Linked DNA regions of Tamandua tetradactyla. The protein of the gene in region 1 binds, or shares a complex with, the protein of each later gene. Links are inferred from orthologs where the notes say so. Each region holds a gene or a part of one and is shown in the gene's direction. Other genes may lie near its edges.

The links.
Region 2: ARID1A (region 1) and SMARCD1 share a complex: the UniProt entries of both Homo sapiens proteins name them as parts of the neuron-specific chromatin remodeling complex. The link is inferred for Tamandua tetradactyla from reciprocal best matches to the Homo sapiens genes ARID1A and SMARCD1.
Region 3: ARID1A (region 1) and SMARCA2 share a complex: the UniProt entries of both Homo sapiens proteins name them as parts of the neuron-specific chromatin remodeling complex. The link is inferred for Tamandua tetradactyla from reciprocal best matches to the Homo sapiens genes ARID1A and SMARCA2.

Annotation. Positions count from the first base shown.
Region 1 is NC_135328.1:199,507,640-199,514,789, reverse strand, and holds the start of ARID1A (AT-rich interactive domain-containing protein 1A), read left to right. Parts: upstream 1-4,149; 5' UTR 4,150-4,205; coding exon 4,206-5,327; intron 5,328-5,349; exon of another isoform or gene 5,350-6,278; intron 6,279-7,150. UniProt on the Homo sapiens protein: Involved in transcriptional activation and repression of select genes by chromatin remodeling (alteration of DNA-nucleosome topology).
Region 2 is NC_135333.1:111,100,376-111,107,714, forward strand, and holds the start of SMARCD1 (SWI/SNF-related matrix-associated actin-dependent regulator of chromatin subfamily D member 1), read left to right. Parts: upstream 1-4,333; 5' UTR 4,334-4,553; coding exon 4,554-4,730; intron 4,731-5,354; coding exon 5,355-5,542; intron 5,543-5,810; coding exon 5,811-5,853; intron 5,854-5,948; coding exon 5,949-6,071; intron 6,072-6,547; coding exon 6,548-6,670; intron 6,671-7,339. Other genes in the region: ASIC1 (acid-sensing ion channel 1), read left to right, coding at 398-489, 971-1,050, 1,141-1,245, 1,427-1,531. UniProt on the Homo sapiens protein: Involved in transcriptional activation and repression of select genes by chromatin remodeling (alteration of DNA-nucleosome topology).
Region 3 is NC_135328.1:96,172,417-96,180,341, reverse strand, and holds the start of SMARCA2 (SWI/SNF-related matrix-associated actin-dependent regulator of chromatin subfamily A member 2), read left to right. Parts: upstream 1-4,919; 5' UTR 4,920-5,094; intron 5,095-5,580; exon of another isoform or gene 5,581-5,814; intron 5,815-7,090; exon of another isoform or gene 7,091-7,464; intron 7,465-7,925. UniProt on the Homo sapiens protein: ATPase involved in transcriptional activation and repression of select genes by chromatin remodeling (alteration of DNA-nucleosome topology).

The DNA of each region.
Region 1 (7,150 bases):
CATATTTGGATTATAAAGGAACTTTACAAAAAACAAGACCTTAAGATGGGCGAAAAAGGATGTAGAGAAGGGGTTATTAGGCACCCACCAAACTTGATGCATCCTTGGTTATTCCTTTGGGATTCTAAAGGTTTTTGGCAGGCACAGTTTTACCAGGAAGGGTTTTTGAGCGCCATTCAGGCTCCATTCCATTTTTCTCGGTGTCACTCCAGTTCATATTTTACAGTTCCCGCCTGGTAGCCGGTAACATAATGAATTGCCTTGACTCTCGCTTCAATCCACTTTCCTCTCTTAATATGCAGCCCAAAGTTTTGCAGCTCGCTGTCAGATGATAGTGCTAGACTTTCACACTGATCCCAAAGCCTCCACTGGGGCTGTTTCTTAACACGGAGTTACAAACTTTAAGAAACAGACAGCTCCAGGCGGAAATCCATGCCAGACTTTGAATTCCGCTTCTGGCTTCCGTCAACTGACGGAGTTGCCCTTTTGCTCAAACTCGCTGCTCCAGTTCGCACTCGCGAGCTCCGCTGGGTGTCTGCTGTTTTGCCGCGGCTGGAATGGGTGTGGGGGCAGCAACCACCGATTCCCCGCGCTTTAGTTCAGAGCTTAAAAAGTCCCCCCCCCCCCCCGAGGAATGGGGGAAGGAAGGAGTCCTGATGAGGAGCAAAGCCTGACCTTTTGTTTGTTGAGTTTTGTATTTCAGATCTTTTGGGAAAGCAAAGCGCGAGAGAGGAAGAGCTATCCTCCCTACAAACGTTTTCCTCTCTTAACCTTCCAGGTCTCGGATCCACATTTTGCAGTTGACTGTGTGGAATCTAATAGGTTGTTCCCTTGTTCTCGGGCCCAATTCATGCGCAATGTGCAGCTGGGTAAAATGAGAGCACATCCTCTGCCATTTTCAGTCTGTTTGTCCTGGCAGCCGTACTCCCTTTACCCGGCGGCCGCGGCCGCTGGAGTTAATGTTGTGTCCAGAAACCCCGCCAGATCCTCCGGGAGGTAGATCCAGTCCACGTTTGCCCAAGTGCCGTGCGGTCGGGGACGGTGATAAGAACTCTCCTGTGTGGAGAGCAAGCGAGACTTTAGTCCGGTTTCCATGTCAACGATTCAGTCCGTATTTGCCATCAGGCTGTTGGTGGTTGAGGCGCTTTCATGAGGGTAGCGCTGTCCTAGTCCTAGTTCTCCAATCTGCGTCGGGATTCCTGAGCTGCCTGGGTGCGGGGTTAAATGGCAGGGGCCATGGGGAAGAAAACTCCACCGAGGGGAGGACTCGTAGTCCCTAGCTGGGTCTCGCAGCTCGGGCCAGCCACGTGCCCAGCTTCCTCCCCTCCCCCCCTTTCCCTGTACCCCTAGAGAGAGTTTGTGGGCTAGTTTCTAAGAAAGTTCCCTTCAGGCGTGCGATTCCAGGATGGGGGTGTAGGGCTCTAAAGGTAGGGATAGAAAAGGATCCTAAACGAGTTGGAATTAAAAAAAGAAAGAAAGAAATCCCGTGTTACCTCCCCCAGTCCAGGTGGATAGATTTTGGGCAATTCACCTAATTGCTAGATAAAAATGGTGGCTGTTTTCAAAACAATGCTCACATGTAGGGAGAGGAATTTTGGCACTTTCCATATTTCACAGCCACTGAAGAAAGGGAATGATGAGGGTTTCTTTTGGAGACATCCATTCAGGCTTCCAGATATACACTGGCTCCAAGTTTCCCATTACACTTAAGCTCTGAGGAAAATGACAGGGCAACTGCATGTAAAAATTCCTCATTTGTGTGCAGGACTCAGGACTGTTTGCCAGTTCACGGGCAAGTGGTTAATAACCAAACTCCATTTATGAGGCAGAATATAATTTGGTTTCTTTAACGTAATACACTAGGAAAGTTGTTGTCCCTGGACTATGAATGAAACTAAGGCACTGGCCCATTCCAGTGAATTGGATCTTCTTGGTAGGGTTTCAATTCTTGACTTTGGGGGAAAAAAAGGCAATGTTTTAGATTAGGAGGATGGTTTTGCCTTTTTAGTGTAGGATGCTCTAAGATTTTTTTTGGGGGGGGGGTGTTAGAAATGAGCTCAGGCTTTTGGAATTATTCACAGTGACCAGTAGCTTGGTAAGGACTCCTGCAGGGGCCTGCAGAATCTGAAAGTGCTAAGATAATGATGAAGTCTCCATTTATAAAATCTGAGGGGAAAAGAAGCTCTGGGGTCTAGAAACGCTTGTCTGGGCCTCTCTTAAGGCATCTGTGAGCCTGGTGAGGAGTTGGAATCCCCTCTGGCTTTCATAGCCTGTCATGTCAGAGCATTCCAAGTCAGCCTGAGGAGGAAAAGGCTGCTGGGCAACGCTGGAGTTTTTTTATGTATGCCTTGATCTTTTCAAATAAACCTGACCTAACTAACATATACCTAACTCCAGTTCCATCAGGTTTTCTTAGAATGTGATGGTAAACTTTAAAGAATCTTTACACTGAGGAATAAGAAACAAATCTGGGTTGCATCTGTTTTCTGAATGACCTTTTAGACTGTGACTTTTCTGTTTCTTTAAGGATAAAATTGTTTCCCTCCTTTTGGCCATCCCTTTTCTTCAGTGGTTTGTTTGAACATCAGGTACCTCCAGCCCAGGAAGCCTCTTCCACAGGCTGTAGGGGCTGCCTTTGGGTATTGATCATTGTGGGCTAAGCTCTTTTAGGAGATAGAGAAGGGGCTCATATTCTACTTGATGTCTGACTGCCATATGCCTCCAAAGCAGCTTCCATTGAGACCACTTTAAATCTGTGGTGAGCTGAGCAGCTTTGATCTCAAACCCATCCTTATTCTGATATTCTGATCCCATCACTGGATTTGTCCACAACTTGACTGCTTTTTTTAAAAGGATAAATAGACAGGAATCAGCCTTGGGGACTCCACTTCTTTTTAAAGCCACCTTCCTCTGTCCTCTAACTTTGTGACCCAAGACAAGTCCCTTCCCCTCTCTATATTTCAATTCTATGAAATGGTGATAATCTGGACCCCAAGGCCTTGTCAGGACAGGATAATGGAGGTAGGATAGCAAAAAAACAATGATCCTTAGGCCAGCTACCTAGGTAAAATGCTGGGACCCACTGCCTTACTCAGCTGGATCTTTAGAGCCGGTTTGCAGCAGAGGTGCTAAGTAGCTGCCAAGAGACCAGGCCCACTGCCAGGGGGTCAGGCCAGAGCCCTGGCGGCCGTGGTCTCGGGCTCAGGCCAATTTTGCAGCCGCGGGTAAAGTTCACGCTGCCGGCTCCCTTCCGTGCCGCCACCGGTTGGGATGGGAACGCCGGGAGGGAAGCGGCGCAGGTTCCACAGAGGTGGGAAGTCCGGGCCAGGTTTTCCCCGATGCCTTCAGCGGCGGCGCGGCCGAGCTAAAGCTACCGAGGGCCTACAGCCGCCAAGGCTTGTTCTTTCCCCTCCTCCTTTGTGAGGGGAAGGGAGAGAGTTCGTTCCGCGGCCCGCGCCCGTTCCGTGTTCCATTTCGGGTTTGCCAGGCGGCCGCGACGGCGCTGGGTAAAATGGCAGTGCTGAGCCTCGTGTCGGAGTGAGGGGGACTCGGAGGAGAGTGGGGCGCTCTAGCCACTCAGTCCGGCCGCCTGCCCGCTCGCCCGCTCGCGGCCGCACAGCAGCCTCGGCCCGAGCCGTGGCCGGGGAGGGGAGGCACGGCACCCGGCCCGCGTTCCGATTTTCCCTCCCGGCGCCCGGGTTGCTGCCGCGCGCCCTCCAGCCCGCCCGTCCCGGGTCCCCCTCCCCCCGCTCCCTCCCTCCCTCCCCGCCCCCTCCCCCTCGCCTCCCTCCCTCCCTCCCTCCCTCCCTCCCTCCTCCTTTCTCCGGCAGCAGAAAGCGGAGAGTCACAGCGGGGCCAGGCCCTGGGGAGCGGAGCCTCCACCGCCCCCCTCATTCCCAGGCAAGGGCTTGGGGGGAATGAGCCGGGAGAGCCGGGTCCCGAGCCTCCAGAGCCGAGAGCAGCTAAGCCGCCGGCGCCTCGGCCGCCGCCGCCTCCTCCTCCTCCGCCACCGCCAGCCCGGAGCCTGAGCCGGCGGGGCGGGGGGGAGAGGAGCGAGCGAGCGCAGCGCAGCAGCGGAGCCCCGCGAGGCCCGCCCGGGCGGGTGGGGAGGGCAGCCCGGGGGACTCGGCCCCGGGGAGGGGTGGGAGGGGGGGGAGAAGACGAAGACAGGGCCGGGTCTCTCCTCGGACGAGACAGCGGGGATCATGGCCGCGCAGGTCGCCCCCGCCGCCGCCAGCAGCCTGGGTAACCCGCCGCCGCCGCCCTCGGAGCTGAAGAAAGCGGAGCAGCAGCAGCGGGAGGAGGCGGGGGGCGAGGCGACGGCAGCGGCCGAGCGCGGGGAAATGAAGGCAGCCGCCGGGCAGGAAAGCGAGGGTCCCGCCGTGGGGCCGCCGCAGCCGCTGGGAAAGGAGCTGCAGGACGGGGCCGAGAGCAATGGGGGTGGCGGCGGCGGAGCCGGCAGCGGCGGGTCCGGCGCGGAGCCGGACCTGAAGAACTCGAACGGGAACGCGGGCCCTAGGCCCGCCCTGAACAATAACCTCACGGAGCCGCCCGGCGGCGGTGGTGGCGGTAGCAGCGACGGGGTGGGGGCGCCTCCTCACTCGGCCACGGCCGCCTTGCCGCCCCCAGCCTACGGCTTCGGGCAGCCCTACGGCCGGAGTCCGTCGGCCGTCGCCGCCGCCGCGGCCGCCGTCTTCCACCAACAACATGGCGGACAACAAAGCCCTGGCCTGGCAGCGCTGCAGAGCGGCGGCGGCGGGGGCCTGGAGCCCTACGCGGGGCCCCAGCAGAACTCGCACGACCACGGCTTCCCTAACCATCAGTACAACTCCTACTACCCCAACCGCAGCGCCTACCCCCCGCCCTCCCAGGCCTACGCGCTGAGCTCCCCGAGAGGCGGCACTCCGGGCCCCGGCGCGGCGGCGGCCGCCGGCTCCAAGCCGCCTCCCTCTTCCAGCGCCTCCGCCTCTTCGTCGTCTTCGTCCTTCGCTCAACAGCGCTTCGGGGCCATGGGGGGAGGCGGCCCCTCAGCGGCCGGCGGGGGAACCCCCCAACCTACCGCCACCCCCACCCTCAACCAACTGCTCACGTCGCCCAGCTCGGCCCGGGGCTACCAGGGCTACCCCGGGGGTGACTACGGCGGCGGGCCCCAGGACGGAGGCGCCGGCAAGGGCCCGGCGGACATGGCCTCGCAGTGTTGGGGGGCTGCGGCGGCAGCGGCGGCGGCGGCGGCCGCCTCGGGAGGGGCCCAACAAAGGAGCCACCACGCGCCCATGAGCCCCGGGAGCAGCGGCGGCGGGGGGCAGTCGCTCGCCCGGACCCCGCAGGTACACAGCTGAGTGGGGAGGGGGCTGGGGCTAGCGGGGTTCTGGGAGGTGGGTGGCGGCAGCGGGAAACCGGCCACAGCCGTGGGCTTCCCCCAGTCCCGGGCCCCCACTCCTGGGGACCTGCCATTGTCTGGCTCTTCTTTCTTAAAATGGCTGCCTCTCTGCCTACCTCTCCTTTCCTCCTTCAGCCTTTGTGTGGGGCTTTCACAGAGGTGTCTGCTCCCCTTCCCCCTCTCTCCTAGTTCCTTAGAACTCTGGGGGTCTTCAGAGGGGTTGTGGGGCAGAGTGGGCGGCGAAGGGCCTTGCCTGGGGTGAGCCGGGGCTGGGGACTCAGGTTAGCGATATAGGCAGTGGCAGGAGCTTCGGGAGTTAAGAGAACAGTTTTTTGCTCACCTGCCACTCCTCTCTGCCCCCTTGCTTCCTCTAGGCCGTTCCCCTTCTGTGCTTTCAAGGAGGGGCCCCTCAGGCTCGAGGGAGGGCAGGGGCCTGCTTGGAGGCCGCTAGAAGCCGGCTGCGGTTCACCCAGGACAGCCCGGGCCATCCCCGGTCTTAGTCTTCTTCGGCCCTGTGGCCCGGGCTTCTCCCTGGAAGTGCTGGTAAACAGCTGAGTGATTGGAGTAGTAAGTGCAGATTGCTTTGGTTTGGGATTTGAATTATGGAGGTAAAATCCTTCTGTCAAAGCCAGGAGACAGTTGGTCTTAGGTTGACATCCTATCTGTGATCTGATTGGCTCCCCATCTCCTGCTCTTGGCCATTTATAATTGCCTCTGATGTAATGGTACAACAATCCTGATGAGCTCATAAACTTTTACACTCTGCTTTTCTGCCAGTGATAACCCAAACCATCGCTGCCACTATCTGCCTTTTATTCCAGAGCTGAAATTGGCTGTGACCTTGAGGAGGGAGGTTTAAGCAGCAATACTGTATCAGCAGGAGCAAAGCCCCAGACAGGTTGCCCTTGTTACATTGTGCACAAAACAAAAGAGAGGCAATGGCATTTCACTTGTACCTTGGATTTATTTTGCTTGTTATGTTTTATGCAGCCTGAAATAGATGCTGTGTTGTCAGAACAGTAGCTGAGTTTTTCTCTACAATGGGTTTGCTGTTTGTTTTGGTTTTGACTTTCCTGATGGTATAAATGACTTCTTTGATGATTCTGAAGATGCATTTGTCTTGAGTAATTTCGATCTTGTTTGCTTTTCAGAATTGAAATTATTTTACTGGGCATTTTATTGAGTGGTGAATGTGAGATCTTTATTCGGGAGTAGTACTTTTTTTTTTTTTTTTCTTAGTTTGGAGAACTGGAAGCTTTTTGAGAGAATTTTGTATTAGGTTCAAGTGTTCTGTTTGTGACCTCATTCTTTGTTTACATGTTGAATCTAACACTCTTTTTTTTGTTAATTAAACTTTGGCAGAGCAGCTCAATTTAAAGGGAAGCTAATGTCTGTATTTCATGATGTTAAGAGGGATTTTCTCCTGAAGACTTGATTTGGTGAAATTTATCATTTGATCCTGTAATATAAAAAACTAGTTTTCTAATGTTTCAGTCATTTTAGAGCTTTGAAATAGAAATCGGCTAACTTTTTCTCTGCATCCCTAGGTATGTTTCTTTTTTCTTGTCTTCCAAGATATAAAGATAGGACCTACTGTGATACTTAAAAGATTTGCTTAGAAATCACAATTTTTGTACTTTTTAATGCATCCTATTTTATTTTTATTTTGCTCTTTTTCTCTCTTCATTGTGTTCTGTCTTCAAGGTTTTAATCAGGAATGTTGGGTTCTGTATGGAGCCATATATCTTTAAGAAGAGGGAAAGTGGTCCC
Region 2 (7,339 bases), on another chromosome or scaffold:
CAGGGCTCTCAGATTGCCTGTGAGGGATACAATGGGGGCTTGCTGGGGCGCAGGCAGGAGGAAGTTGAGATAACACGGGGTCAAGAGGCAACCAACCAGTCTGCGGTGGGCATGGAGGGAAGACCAAGCCACAGTAAGCAGAGGAAGCATTCCTCTCTCCCCGCTCCCCAGCTTTATCCTCTGTCTTCATCCTCATTGCCGCCACTATGATCAGGTGTGCAGTGTCTTTTCCTATACACCATCTCATTCAATCCTTCTACAAGGTACATTAGCTTTAGCATCTCATTTTATGATCCAGAGACTGAGATTCAGAAAGGCTAACTTGTGAAGGTCACCCAGCTTGTGAAAGGCAGAGCTATGACTTGAACCTGTGTCTCCTCCCCCAACCTCACTGAAGGGAGAACATCTTGGTGCTGGACATTTTCTTTGAAGTCCTCAACTATGAGACCATTGAGCAGAAGAAGGCCTATGAGATTGCAGGGCTCCTGGGTGAGCTACTGAATGCACCTGTTCCTTCCCTTGCCATGGGCGGGGCCTGACTCCCTGCTCACCTCTGTCTCATATGGTCCCCACTCCAGGAACCCTTCCCCAAACCCTGCTGCCTTGGTATGTGGTGGGGCAAGAGGGCTGAGCCTTTTCTTAGGGTAAAGCGAGCGGCCCATGGGCATGGGGACGGGGGAGGGACAAGGGTTACAGGGGCTATTTCACACTCTCTGAAAACTGGTCCAGAGACTAAGAGTGTTGGGTATTTTGTAAGCAACTGTTTTACGTGAAATAATACCTATGCATTTTAGAAAAGTAGAAAATGCTGGAAAAAAAAAAAACACATAAAAACCCCACCAGAAGCTGGCTTTGCGCCCGTGCATGAAGGTTGTCAACACCCTCGTGAATAGGATTTGTTCGCCCCTGTTACTGCGAGCCGTGCCGCCCCCACGGTGACCTCCCTGACCTCCACGCACCCCTCCCGCAGGTGACATCGGGGGCCAGATGGGGCTGTTCATCGGGGCCAGCATCCTCACGGTGCTGGAGCTTTTTGACTACGCCTACGAGGTAAGCGGTGGGGGTGGGGTGGGGGTGGGGCCTACGCCGAGGGGCGGAGCCTACGGAAGGGGTCCCACCCCACCCCGCCGCCTGTCGCAGGTCATTAAGCACAAATTGTGCCGGAGAGGGAAGTGCCAGAAGGAAGCCAAAAGGAGCAGCGCGGATAAGGGTGTGGCTCTCAGCCTGGACGACGTGAAAAGACACGTGAGGAAGCCAGCGAGAGGTGGCGTCGGGGCCCACCCTCCCCTCGCTGCCCCGGGGCCCGCCCCCACCTACCCCCCACGCCCCACCCGTGCCTTCACACCATCCTTCCTTTGCCTCCTCCACACCCCAGTGACACCTGTGACGCTGATAACCAGTCCCTGTCCTGTGTGTGCCCTTCTAGAACCCCTGCGAAAGCCTCCGGGGCCATCCTGCCGGGATGACGTACGCTGCCAACATCCTACCTCACCATCCGGCCCGAGGCACGTTCGAGGACTTTACCTGCTGAGCCCTGCAGGCCCCTGTACCAAAGGCCTAGATGGGGAGGGCTAGGAGAGCAGGGGCCCCGTCCCCTCCCCCGGCTGCCCCCTTCAATCGGCTCCAGGACTTATGGCCACCTCCTAGGGCAGTCCCCCACTCCTGGACAATCCTTTCCTCTCCTCTGTGGTGAGGAAGGAGTTTTGACCTGACCATACTCTCCCTGCCTCTATCCCTTTTTTTGTTTGTTTTTTAAACAAAACTAAACTAATCTAAAAAAGAAATTAAAAAGAGAGAAGGGGGCAAGGGACCTCAGGCTGACCTGCTCTGCCCCATGCTGCCTCCCCTAGCTTCCAGCCTGAATTCTCTCCGTCTGTCATCTGAGCGTCCACCTACATTCTGCTGCCACCAGTCACCAAAGCCCCCCCAGTGGGTGGGGCAGGGGATCCTTGGGGTCTGGAATTTGGCCCCAAACCAGAGAATGTATCTTGAGGGGGAGGGCTGGGAAGGGGCTTTCCTAGCCTTAAGAGACCCCCTCAACGCAGTGATCCCCCACCCCCACCCCAATCCCAAGTCTTCAGGCAGAAAGTAAGACCCCAGTCTCACTTCCTCACACCATGTGGAGTCCCTAGGGGGCTGGGTGCAGTGATCCTCTGAATTGGAGACGGGGGCAAGATGCGGCCCTGGTGCTGTAGGCCACACCCCGATACTTACACGTTCACCCCCACACTAGAGCCGTAGCTGCTGGAAAGAAATCCCAAGAAGCAGCCGTCCTCTTACATCCCATAAAAGACCCCGCTGGTTGGTTTCCAGCTCAGGGAGAGGGTTACTGGTGCCTGAAATCACTGGTCCTTCTCCCAGGGGCCCCTGCAGAGGGCCACATCCATAAATTTTCTTATGGAACTCTCCCAAGTCCTTTTCCCCAACTCCATTTGCTTCTCTCAACAACCTCATCTGCATTTTCTATTTCTATATGATACAGACTCTATATTGCTATATCTCTGTATATACTTTTCTCCAACCCTGTCTGTCTCTCCCCATACACTCTTGTCTCTGGAAACCACCCCCTACCCTGAGTTCCCCCTTCTGTGTCTCTGACTCCCCCTCCCCCTGGTTTCTGAATGCCTTCGCCTGTATAAAGAGTTGGACTCTCTCCCCTGGTGTCTGTACTGTGTACACACATCCCTCTGAGAAGCACAAGGAGACGACACACGCATTGTAAACTTCGCACTGTCTTGGTGGCGACATAAAGGAAGCTGTGAATCACAAGCTCTGCCTCTTTCTGGCCTCATCCTCTCCTCCCAACCTGGGTATACTCTGCCCTCCCTGCAGCCTTAACATTCTCTTCCTCTGCTCCACCCTCCCCAGTACCCTTTACCTGGCTGGTTCCAGCCTCTGAGGAGAAGGGGGGAATGTTGCTACAGTGATAGCCCCCATCCAGGGAATGGGGACCTAGTCTACACCCTAAGCCAAGGAGAATCTTTCTCCCAAGCTAGAGGCTGGAGTGCCAGATTCAGAAGGAAGCTGGGGGTCAATCACTCCTGTAGTGGGGGTAGCGGAGTGCGGACAGGAAGAAGCTGAGGTCCTCAGTCATGGTCTTTCCCTCCTTCTGGGTGCCCAGTTCCCTTTTCTCACCTGATATTCAAGCCTGCCACTCACATTTTCTGGTGAGGTAAGGTGTGCAGTGGGAGGAAAGAGACAGGCCTAGAGGAAAAGTTGAAAGCTCTGCTGTTCTGTTCCACGCTACCTTAATGAGAGGCAAGTGAGGGAGAGGATTAGCCCCCTCTCCCTTCCACAGGCATCCCTCCCAGCCCACAGTCCCAACCCCTTCCCAGACCTTCTCTGCCCAGCCTTCTCTTGGTCTCCAACCCTGGAACAGGACCTATGGGTAGGTCACCTGTGCATTGGCCTGGAGCTGGTGAGTGAAGCTGTAGGATCTTTGGCAACTCCTGATTCTTAGGAGTTCTTAGAGAGCACACCTTCCCAAAGGGAATCAGGAGCAAGGCCAAAAGTGTGCACTGGATGGGGAACAGCAGGTGTGGCTCTGAGTGACGCATGCCTCTGGTGTAATAAACTGGGTTTCAACCATCTCCTTTTCAGTGTTGTTCTTCAGTTATTTGGAAAGTTATTCAGGTCTTCCCATCAATTGCCTAATGCTGAACTTGGCTTGGCTCCAAAGAATGAGGGGGAGGAGTAAGAACAGGGTTTGAGTAGGGAGGTCCTGATCCTCCTAGAATAGAACAGGCTGACCATCTCTCTGGGAATGGTTTGAACCACTGAGCAGGTAAAGAGGGAGAGGCCAAAGACAACAAAGACCCCAGAGAGAAGTCCCACCACAATGGATTTTTTGGAGAGGAGGACAGAGTCAAATTCAAGATAAACTGGAATTTAAAATCTGGAATCAGGTTAGGTTAAAGGTTAGGAACAAGTTGGGTTGAAGTTCCAGAATGAGGTAGTTATTCAGGCATTTTATCTGTGGAATGAGCCCCGGGCTAGAAGCCAGTAAGTAGATCTGGATTCTAGGCTTTGCTTTGTTACTAACTTGATAGATGACCTCTGCCAAGTCATTTACCCTCTGAGCTACATTGTAGAATAGAATAAATAGTGCGTTCTCATCCTCAGCACCCCGTAGATATAGCAATAGGGAGTGAAATGAAAACAGTCAAAGCACTTTGGAAGGTTAAGGACGCTGCGCCTGGACGAAGCAGTTACTCTGCCATCCTCTGCATCAGAAGGTTGAGGCTGGGGCTGGGGTCCGCCTTTTCCAGGTCTTTGTCTTCCTCCCGTCGGCTTGAGGGCGCTCGCTCACAGTGGCTCTCTATCCCAGAGCTCATCTCTGTGGTCGTCCCTCCCGGACCGTGAGGGCTGGAGGGAGTGGTCAAGCTCAGCCTTTTCCGCTAGCCCTCCCGCTCTAGCCCACAGTCTCGCTACCCTGAGCCTCCCGGGCCAGGCGGGCCGGCGGGCGGACAGCCGGGCTCTCGGGGGGCGCGCGGAGGACAGGGGGAGTTCCGGTTCCGGTTCTTTGTGCAGCTGCGGCAGCGGCTCCGGGGAAGATGGCGGCCCGGGCGGGTTTCCAGTCAGTGGCTCCAAGCGGCGCCGCCGGAGCCTCAGGAGGGGCGGGCGCGGCGGCCGCGCTGGGTCCAGGCGGGACTCCGGGGCCCCCAGTGCGAATGGGCCCAGCTCCGGGTCAAGGGCTTTACCGGTCACCGATGCCCGGAGCGGCCTATCCAGTGAGTAGGGCAGGAGGAGGAGCGCTCGGGCCGGAGGCGGGGCCGATGGGGGCTCAGGAGTGACAGGGGTGTGGTGGGGGGAGAAGTAGGAGGGGCTCCCCTGGGAGGAATTCAAGCCCTGTGTAGAGTGAGGAGAATTAGTGCGAAGAATAGGAGGGGGAGACATTTAGCATCCCTACCTACTCCAAAAGGAGTATTGTTTCCGTGCATGTCAGGGTATGAGATCAGGGTTGACGGCCTCGGGCCAGGGGTGGGCAGGTAAGGGCTGGAGCCCACAGGGGCTTGGCAGCTCTAGTGCCCAGAGGAAGACAGAGGGTATAGCTGGCAAATTGGGGTCAAGTTCTAAGGAGGTAATAGCTGGCAGAGTAAATGTGGGAGGTAAATGTGTCAGATCTAGGGTAGATAGGAGAGAGCATTTGAGTGTATTCTGGTTATCGCTTATTTTCTGGGCTATATTGACCCATGGAATCACAGTTGGAGTGGAGAAAGTCCCAGTTGCTTGTATTTCGACATTACCATACCAGTCTGGTTTCATTTAAAGAACTCAGGCATCCCTCACTTTTCCTTTCTTGTTGGTCTTAATAGGGGAAACCATGACATCTCTGGGTCCTTTTCCCTCTATAGCGACCAGGTATGCTGCCAGGCAGCCGAATGACACCTCAGGGACCTTCCATGGGACCCCCTGGCTATGGGGGGAACCCTTCAGTCCGACCTGGCCTGACACAGTCAGGGATGGACCAGTCCCGCAAGAGACCTGCGCCTCAGCAGATCCAGCAGGTCCAGCAGCAGGCGGTCCAGAATCGAAACCACAAGTAAGATGACTCTGGGGCAGAGGGAGGGAGGGGGGAGATCTATGAGAACAAAGGTGGTGGGAGTATTCTGAACCAAGAAATAGTGGTTCCCTGTCAGCAGTCTGGGGCTGCAGGACTCATTTCTCAAGAATGAGAATGTGAAAGGGGAGCTCTTTGATTTGAGAGGAGCTTTGCAGCCCCTCCACATTCTATAAATGGAGTGCTGACAGCTTGTTTTCATGTTCTGACTAGTTTCATCTCATCTAATAACAGTATTTATTCTGAACAGTGCAAAGAAAAAGAAGATGGCTGACAAAATTCTACCTCAAAGGGTGAGTCCAGACTATAGGTTTTCTTGAGGATACAGTGAGTTTGAGAATAGAGATGGTCAGCTCTAGAACCTAATTGTTATCTTTCTGTTCTGAAGATTCGTGAACTGGTGCCAGAATCCCAGGCCTATATGGATCTCTTGGCTTTTGAAAGGAAACTGGACCAGACTATCATGAGGAAACGGCTAGATATCCAAGAGGCCTTGAAACGTCCCATCAAGGTAACACAGGAGAGTGCTAGGCAGAAAGCCAAAGGAGAGAACTTGGGAAACTTCAGCAGTCTTAGTGAGAAATCAAAGGCATAACATAGCTCTCTCTGGCATTTAAATTGGATCTCTCCCTTCTGCCTACAAAGAGAGAATTACATTAGGAGCATAAGAACAGAATGGCAAAGGGGAGGGGCTTTTGATGTCTCTTGCATCAGAAATATACCTTGTCCGTGTTTTTGTTATAACTGCTCTCCCATCTTGGGATCCTGGCACCTTGCATGATTATCCACCCGGCATCCCTGTGTATGCACTTGCACTCAGGCCAGTGGCCTGTGTTCTTCTCCTGGATGGAATCTCCACCAACCCTAGGGACTGGGTAGACAGTAAGCCAGTTTGTTAGGAGTAATTTTGGGGTTTGGGGAGATCCTTGTCTGCAACATCAAACCGCTGAAGCCCCACCATCAATCCTGTTTCTGCCTTCCCCACAGCAAAAACGGAAGTTGCGAATTTTCATTTCTAACACTTTCAATCCGGCTAAATCAGATGCCGAGGATGGGGAAGGGACAGTGGCTTCCTGGGAGCTTCGGGTAGAAGGACGGCTCCTGGAGGATGTGAGTTCAAGGTCCACCGAGGTCGGTGTGTCTAGGGTGGGAGCTGCTGGGAATGAGCAGTGTCCTCTGGTCTGCTGAGACTGTGAACACAGCTCCTGTTGGGAGCACAGGGACGAGGGACACTCTGTTCTCTGTACTGAAAGACAATGGTTCTTTGTGTCTGTCTCCCACAACTTTGACCCTCACTATGGGTATCATTATTGTCCTGGGATCTGACTTGTTGTTTCCCTTCCCCTAGTGCTGAGGCCATTGGATTCACCAGTATCTGAAGATTACTTTAGTTTTTTTCCTTAATCAATTGAGTTTGCTCTTGACATTTGAGGCCATAATTTTCCTTTTCTGAGTCCTTGAGGTCATTGATTCCCACTATGGTATTTCCCTCTTCCCAACTTTAATTCCTCACAGTGTAAGTGGGATAGATGTCTCTGATAAACTTTTCATTGCTTTATGAAGAACATCAGCTGATACCACAGCAGCTCTGTGGGGAAGCTCACCTCTCATTCCTTCATACTCGACAGCTTTTAATTTAAGCTGCCACAGGCAAGCTAATTTGAATGCACGTTTGCAGGAGAAGCAGGGCTCGGTGTCAGAGCCTCCTTCTCTATATAGGTCCATTCCATCTGCTGGTGTTGTCATTTGGTCCAAATAAAGCCGTTTTTGTTCTGGCTG
Region 3 (7,925 bases), about 100 Mb from region 1:
CTATGAAGGAATGAGATGAAGACGATAGTAAAGTTTTAAACGTCTTGCTGATCATGATGATGTTGCACCATCAAAGGTTAACATCTCCAGGTAAAATATATTCTTAGGCCAGAATTCATCATTAATGATAGCTTATGTCTAAATTTCATGTAGTCTTTTGGATAATTGTGAATGGTTTTTAACCTTTCTCTTGTCAGATCCTGTTTTTACTTCTCAACATGGTGGACAATGTGCTATTCGAAGTTCAAGCCGCAGATCTGACACTGATTTTCACCTGGGCTGTCATTACTGGCAGTCTCTCAGTCTTTGATTTCTCTGTAGAAATCTTTTTAAGCCATTTGCTTCCTAAATAGGAGGGTTGCTTGTTTAAAACTAGAAAATATTACCTTGTGAGTCCATTTACCATCGAATCAGCTTCAGGTGATATCAATACCCAGAAAGTGAAAGAACCAGAGGGGACGCCACTGTCAGCCCTCTGTGTTGGGGACTCCTGCCCTGGCCTCATGGCCTCTGCATTCGTCAGGTACAATACAGGGTATATGGCCAGCTGACTCAGGGACCATGTAAAGGCCCCACAGTGAATGAGTGTGATAAACATTAATAAGGCTCATTTAAAAAATTTTTGCATCACTACATTTCTTTTATCATTGAAAGAAAAAGAAACAGACTTTCTAACATTCTTCCCACCTCCCACTGATTTGTCTTGCCCACTCCACTTAGGAGAACCTGCCTTAGGCAAATTATCTGTCATCTCAAAAAATGTTTTCTCATCGGTAAAATGGGTTTAATATCACAAATCTCAAAGGATTTAATGGCATATGTAAAGGGCTTTTACAAATTCTGGCATACGATTTAAAGGAGAAACAAAAGGGAGTTACTATCATAATTATTATTAGTCTATTACACAATTACCATGTATTCATTTGTGTTATTCTTAGCCTAATTAAAAAAAAAAACAAAAACCCAAACAAGCAAACTCCTCTCAATACTCTTCGTGTTATGGCAAGAGCTATAGCTTCTCCTCACCTTCTCTCCCTTAAACAAAACAAAATAAAACCCAAAAACATGTCAGCCTTTTCAGCTTAGAAAATAATACAAAGCTTCTGAACACTTAGTAATCTTGTTCATTAACATGATAATTGCTAACAACAAAGATCTTATGAATTCTCTATAATTTTAATATATGTCTCATCCTTTCATTCAACAAACTTTTTTTTTTCTTTTAACAGCATACAATGTGCTGGGCACCCTGCTAATTGCTGGGGCTTCAAAGATGAATTGAACTTGCTCTACATCCTCCAGGCACTAACCATCTAGTGGAGAATACCAAACAAATAATCGCATCAAAGTGATAAGTGCTATAATGGAGGTACACACTGGTTGCTATGGAAGCAGAATAGGACAAGGGGTCTCCTCTGCCCGGGGAAGGGAAGGAGGGCCACTGGAAGGACGCTGGGCCATTGCTGAGTCTTGGAGGATGTGGGGTGAGGACCTGCATTTCAGTCAGAGGGAATGTGGACGAGGAAGGAAGTCTCCTTTGGAACCAAAAGATAGACCAGGTTTCCCAGAGCTCAGGCATTTTGAGATGGTCAATGAGGCTGGTAGGGACCTGTCCAGGCACAGCCTTGGAGAACACGCTAAGTATGAAATTTATCCTATAATGGATTGAGAATGGACCGAGGACAAACTAGAAAGTGATATGATCACAAAGAGAATTGAGGTGGTATTTTGGAGGAATGATTGTGAGGAGACAAGATCTACTGGGATTATTGATTGAGGGGAAAAAAGGAGAGAGAGAAGTGTTTATTTCTACAATAAATTTATTTGCTAATTCTAAATACATTTCTCCAATAAATTTATTTGCTAATGCTAAATTCTCTTCATTAAATTAAATGTCAGCTGATTCAGTCTGTCAAAGCTTAGTTTCCATTATTGTAGATGAAGTACCTATTCCCTAAATGGTCTTACCTGCTCTTCTTTGAAGTTAGGCAACATTTTAGTAAACATTAACAGCTTGTCTGTTGAAACTAGAAGCTCCCTAACTTTGTGCATGGAATTTTTCTTTATGAGTATTTTGTCACTAGATATCAATTTTCAAACCCAGTATCTTACTCTTTACAGAACTAAAGCAGAGTTACATAACAAGTGAATATGGCCACACAGAAATGAAAAAGTGACTTCCATCCCTTGATGCCAAACTAGAAAGAGAAAAGCTAGTTCTGAGAACACATTATGACTCATCAAAGTCCAAAACGAAAAGCTTCATGTGAATATAGCATCCTGTGCAGCCTCCTGGAGTCCTTTTAGCCTCCAACCATATTTGCTTTTGTGTGATTTTCTGCAAAACAAAAGAATCCCATCATTTTCCTCCTTAACATCAATTGTTAAATTTTGCCTTACCTCAGAGATGAAGCTCATGCTAGGTGTTCTGCATTCTTTTTGTACCAAGTGAATGATGGTGCTCTTTCATTTCTCCTGAGTTTAGGACTTATTTTATAAAATTCTTATTTGCTGTAATGCAAACCATAAACAAGATGATTCTTCAGAGGAAAGATCTGAAGGGAGAAGGTGGTGCTTTCTTAGACTAATGTGAGGGAAAAGGAGATGAAAAATCTATATTTAATCTGTGCCCCCAATGAAGATCTTGTTTTTAAATTCCCATAGTTGTGCCTCTAATAGATGGATACCATCCTCTCCTGTAGCCCCAAGTACTACATCAAAATTTTATGTGAGCTGAAGAATACACACATATACAAAGGGAATGCTTTCTTCTTTACTTTCCCTTTGACAAAATGCCAGAAGGAATGGCCAGTCTCATCATCAGTGTCTTACTAAGGTGATGTTCTCTTTGAAATTTGGCATGGCAGGTGGAGGTGGGATAAAGGACACTCATTCGTGAGGGAATAAAGATGAAGTCATCGATTTCTGCAAGTTGGCATGTGAGGTTGGCATGCAAGGGAAGCAAAAACAAATTTAAACCTAATATTATCTAATGTAATGTACATTGTCATTATCTTACAGAGCCTTTTATAGACAACTGAGTTATCTGGCTATATGATTAGTTGCAATTTATTAGACAGTTAGAAGTTAGTATTTTTATTATACTTTTACTACAATTTTTGCTTAAGATTTCTTGCTGTATATTTCTCAGTTAATAGTTATGTTGGCCCTCAGGCAGGGAAAACAAGTTCTTACAACGGATTCTTCAGGGCATACTATACTCTATTTCACTTAGGTGTGCTATCTTTTGTTGTCTTGAGGTTCACTTTGGGCTAGACAGAAAATTAGGAGGACAAAGTTAACAATCAAGTAACAAGGCCTTGGAAAACCTCAGGATGGGGGATAATTGATACTCCTAGCCACTCCAAAAACGGTGTCTTTGCACACCAGGCTTCAGCTAGCAATGGACTGGCATGTGAACAATACCTGCCACATAATGCCACATGGAGTATTTGGTGTTCTTTCCACGGCTTCTTGTCTTCAATTTATTCAGCCTGTAGTTTCAAGCATCCTAGAACTGCATTTCAGATCTGGTTGCTCAAGTAGAGTCAATGTTGCAATAGCAAAATGGTGATAGGATAGGATTTTACTCTAGGGGAAAAAATCCTCAACCAAAGTCACAGTGCACTTGGAATGACTAATTTAAGCCATTACATTACAAAATAAGGGATAAATCATAGTTTTCATAACACTCCCGTGTAGGAACAGTTTTAATTTTAAGAGTCAAGCACCTACATTAATCTGAGTCTAAAATAATAGGCCCCTGATTTAAAATCTCCCAACATTCTTTCACACTTCATAAAACTAAAAATAAAATTGTCTCAGCAAACCCTGACCTATTGGTCCGACCAAAGTACCATGTTTCAAAGAAAATTAGAACAAGAGATCTCAAAACCGTGAAGTGCCCGAGGTTTACTATTTGTAGCCTTAATTGGTCTTAAATGTGGAGTGGGAGAGAAGAGACGATGGGCTGTAGAGAAAAAGAGATTTATTCCCCCTCTTAAATCAAAAGCAGATTCCGTTCTTCAACTGCCCCCGAGCTCGCTTGCCCCGCCCCCGCATCGGGTTGTTTTTCTATATTTTTGTATATATTTTACACGAAAATGACAGATGAGGAAGGTTACAGTGCTATGTCTACTCCACGGAATATACAGAGGGGTTAAAGCGGGCTTATTTATTTATAAGGCGTTCAGCCTCTCAGCTGTTTCTCCCCTCACTGGCATTTGGAAGCTTGCAATCCTTTGGAGAAGAGACTGATTTGGCAGGAATGTTCTTTGTGCCTGCTACCCTATGGGGGGGGGGGGGGGAGGGAGCAGATTTGTAATTACAGCCCGGGGTGGGGAACGGAGAAGAAAAAGTTTCAACCGGCACGATAATGCCCCCTTTTTTCCCCCCTCGGTCAGCACCGTGCCACCAACAGCTTTTGGTGCCACTTAGAGCCTCTCCCTGTCCCCTCCTTTTCTCTCCGCAGGCTCGCACTGGCAGGCGGAGACAGTTAAATTCCAGCACCTTCCCCACATACCCCCAAACTACTACGCGCTATTACTACGGCTTCCCTCCCTTTCGCTTCGCCTCCTCCTCCCCTCCAGCCTCCCCGGAGGCGGCCCGCAGCGCCTGGGGAAGAGGACTGCCAAGGCAGGAATAACAGACGCCCAACTCCATCAGGGCTCGGGGCTTTCTGCGTCCTGCGCAGTTTATCCGCCCCAGGCAAAAACACAGCCCTAGAGCCGGCGCCTTGCAGCCACACACGGATCCAGTACAGTAGAGCTGTCTCGGTCTACATTCTTGCACACCGCCCCCTCCTCCCCCCGCGCTCGCGGAGTCGCCGAGCCGAGCGAGTGACAGGCGCGTCCCACCAACCCGCGCCCGGCCGGGCAGGGAGGAGCGGCTCTCGGGGCCAACTGCGGCGCGTCTTCCGGCGCCCGTGGAGGCGGCGAGGGTGGGACGCGGGGCGGAGCCCGAGTTTAGGAAGAGGAGGGGATGGCTGTCATCAATGAAGTCATATTCATAATCTAGTCCTCTCTCCCTCTGTTTCTGTACTCTGGGTGACTCAGAGAGGGAAGAGATTCAGCTAGCACACTCCTCGCGAGCAAGGTAAATATAACTTACAACTCCTTTCTCCTCTTTCCCCTCCCTCGGGGCTGCCCGCTGGAGCCGCGGCGCAAACCCCCTCCAGCACTGCGCCGCCTTCGCTGGGGATTATTCATTATTCTCCTAATTATTATTTATTGTGCATGCACGGAGACCAAAACAAACAGGCGGGCCAACCGACACAACAACAAAAAAGCCCGCCTCCTCCCCGCGGGCCTCAGGTGGAATGCTCTAACGACAGCTGCCGGGCGGGTGTGGAAGAAACGGGAAAGTTTCAACTGAACCTTGCTGTTCTAATAATAATAATAATAATTACTACTTAGAGGGAGCCAGGAGGAAAAACCAACAAACCACAGCCTTGACCCTGTGTAGGCAGTCGGCAATGCGCTGCCAACTTAAGGTTGCAACACACACACACTCGGCAAGGTTGTAATCCGCCCCATCCCCTTAAAAGCCGGGGGGGGGGGGGGGAGGCTTGGGGGGAGGTGGAGGAGAATGGAAACGCGACAGTTCATCCCGAGCAATCCTCCCCGGAAGAGTTGGAAGGGGAGCGGGAGAGGAGGACGAAGAGTCCGGGCAGGCGGCGGGGCGCCAGCGGACGCGGCTGCCACCGCTCCGGGGGATTTGTTTAAAGGGCTCCGACTGCGGAGACGCGAGTGGATTGCGGCGGGAGAAGCCGAAGCTGACGCGCGGAGAAAGCGGCAGCTACAAGCCGCCGGGCTGGTGAGCGCCGGATCCGAGGTGTCACCTGCACTTTCCGCGTTCCCTCCGGCGGGGACGGGGCCGCTGGCAGATAGACAGCAAGGCCTTTGGGCAAAGCGGCTACGGGGCGGGGGGAGGGCGGGGGGTACGCCCCGGGCGCTGCGGGCATCCCTGCTCCTGGTACCTGGCGGCCGTGCAGGCTCGGGTGTTGAAGTTCGGGGTGTCCGGCCCCGGCAGCATCGCTGGGAGGGAGAGAGGAGGCCCCGAAGAAGGAGGTCGGAGGTGCCAGCCAGGTTCAGTTACACTACCCTCCCCCTCCCCGGGTTTGTTTTCTTTTGCTTCGCTTCTTTCCCTTGGCTAGGGCTTGGGGAGCAGCGGGCGTGGGTCGCCGGTGATCGTTCGGGTGCTAGGGGCTCGCTGGGGCCCAGGAGAGCCAAGGCGGCTGCGGGCCGAGGAGGCCATGATCCGGATAATCCTCTCTGCCTGACTGTCACAAACAGAACTCTCACGCACCCGGGCAGCGGTGGTGGCGTTCGCCGGCTAAAAGGGAAAGGGCTGAGGGGGAGGATAGGGGGTAGCGAGGGAGGGAGGCTGGGAGATGGGGTGGGAGCTTCCTCCCAACGATGACACGGACCCCTTCCTTCTCGCTCCATGCTTTCGAGTTTGCTTTATTCCCATCCCAACCTGGTTTACCCCTTACTCAGCTCTTCCAACCCCCCTTCACCCGCCCGCCTTCCCTCCTCCCGTTTGCGTTGCAAATGCTGCCATGCCATCTGCAAAGGTGTCGCGATGCACTTCCCCAAATAACCGGTCCGGCGCGCCAGTCCCCGGGCGCCCACCGACCGCAGAGCACACGCCGAGCCCGGTGCCCTGGTACCCTGCACAGGCCTCACAGCCTGGGCGCAGTTGCACCTTGTGGGGCGGGGCACAGCAGTGCGGGCTCCGGGACACCCAGCGCGCTGGCCTGGGCACTCGCGCCGGTTTCCGGTACACGCGGGGAAACCGCCTGCTGCCAGTGTCTGCGCGCTTGCCCCCGCCTCCGCCGCCCGATTGCTATTATTTTTATACGGTCGCCGTTTGCGGCGTATGGTGGTGAGCGCCAGGCTTGCCGGGCTGCTTGGGGGTTGGGGGTGGAGAGAAGTTGGACGTGGATCAGGCAGGAAAAAAAAAAAAGTTTGGCAGGGAGGCTAACTACGGTGGAGGGATGGGAGGGGGCGGCGAGCGCCAGCAGCTTGCGTCTCGGCGCCCTCGGGGCCGGGGCGAGGGTGCCTGCGCGTGAGTGTGAGTGTGCGTTGTGCGCGTCGGGGCGAGTGCGTCTGGAGTCGCCGCGCGGGCAGCCGCTCCCGCCCGCGCCCTCCCGAGGAGCTCAGGGAGGGAAAGACGAGGTTTGGCGGCGGGAGCTGCTGGGGGTGACGTGCTCGTGTGAATGTGAGTGTGTGTGTGCGCGCGCGAGCGGCAGAGAATCAGGAAGTCACAGCAGCGAAGCGCACACAGACATGTTTGATCGCCGTGACATGACGCGCGCGAGGAAGGAAGCGGCGGCGGGGGCCGGGCCCCGGGCTCCGGCGCGGGCCTAGAGCTCTGGGGAAGAACCACGCTCCGGGCGGTGGACCGCGCCGACCCCGCAGGCTCTCGGAGTCCCAGCGCCGCTTTTTGTTCCGAGTCCCCCAGGTAAGCAGCCTGCGCCGCCACTGCCACCGCCCGCGTTGTGCGGAGCTTTCCAGCTCTTTCCCTGCCGGCCCCCTCTGATCTCCCCGCTCGCCTTTCCTGCCTGCAAAGTCAGGCAGGCGGGGGGAACTGGCTCCTTGTCCTCCCATCGATTGCGTGGAAAACTTTACAGCGGGAGGCACCGTGGAGGAGGAAAAAGAAGGCCTTGCTGGCTGCTGTCGCTTGTCAGACCTTTCTCCTTCAGGTCCGGAGAGTGTGAGTCGCTGCGCCCTGGGGCTGTTCCACCTTCAAACTTCGGGCCTAAATGTGCCTCCGACTCTCGCAGGATTTGCTCCAGCAATAAGATAAATATTCAAAGTCGTCCATTTGGTCTGGTCAGGCGTTTGGATTTTTTTAAGGGAAGAAGGGAGTCGAGGGAGTGGGGGTGTTGTGCAGAATCCATTCCTTATTTAATATCTGCACCG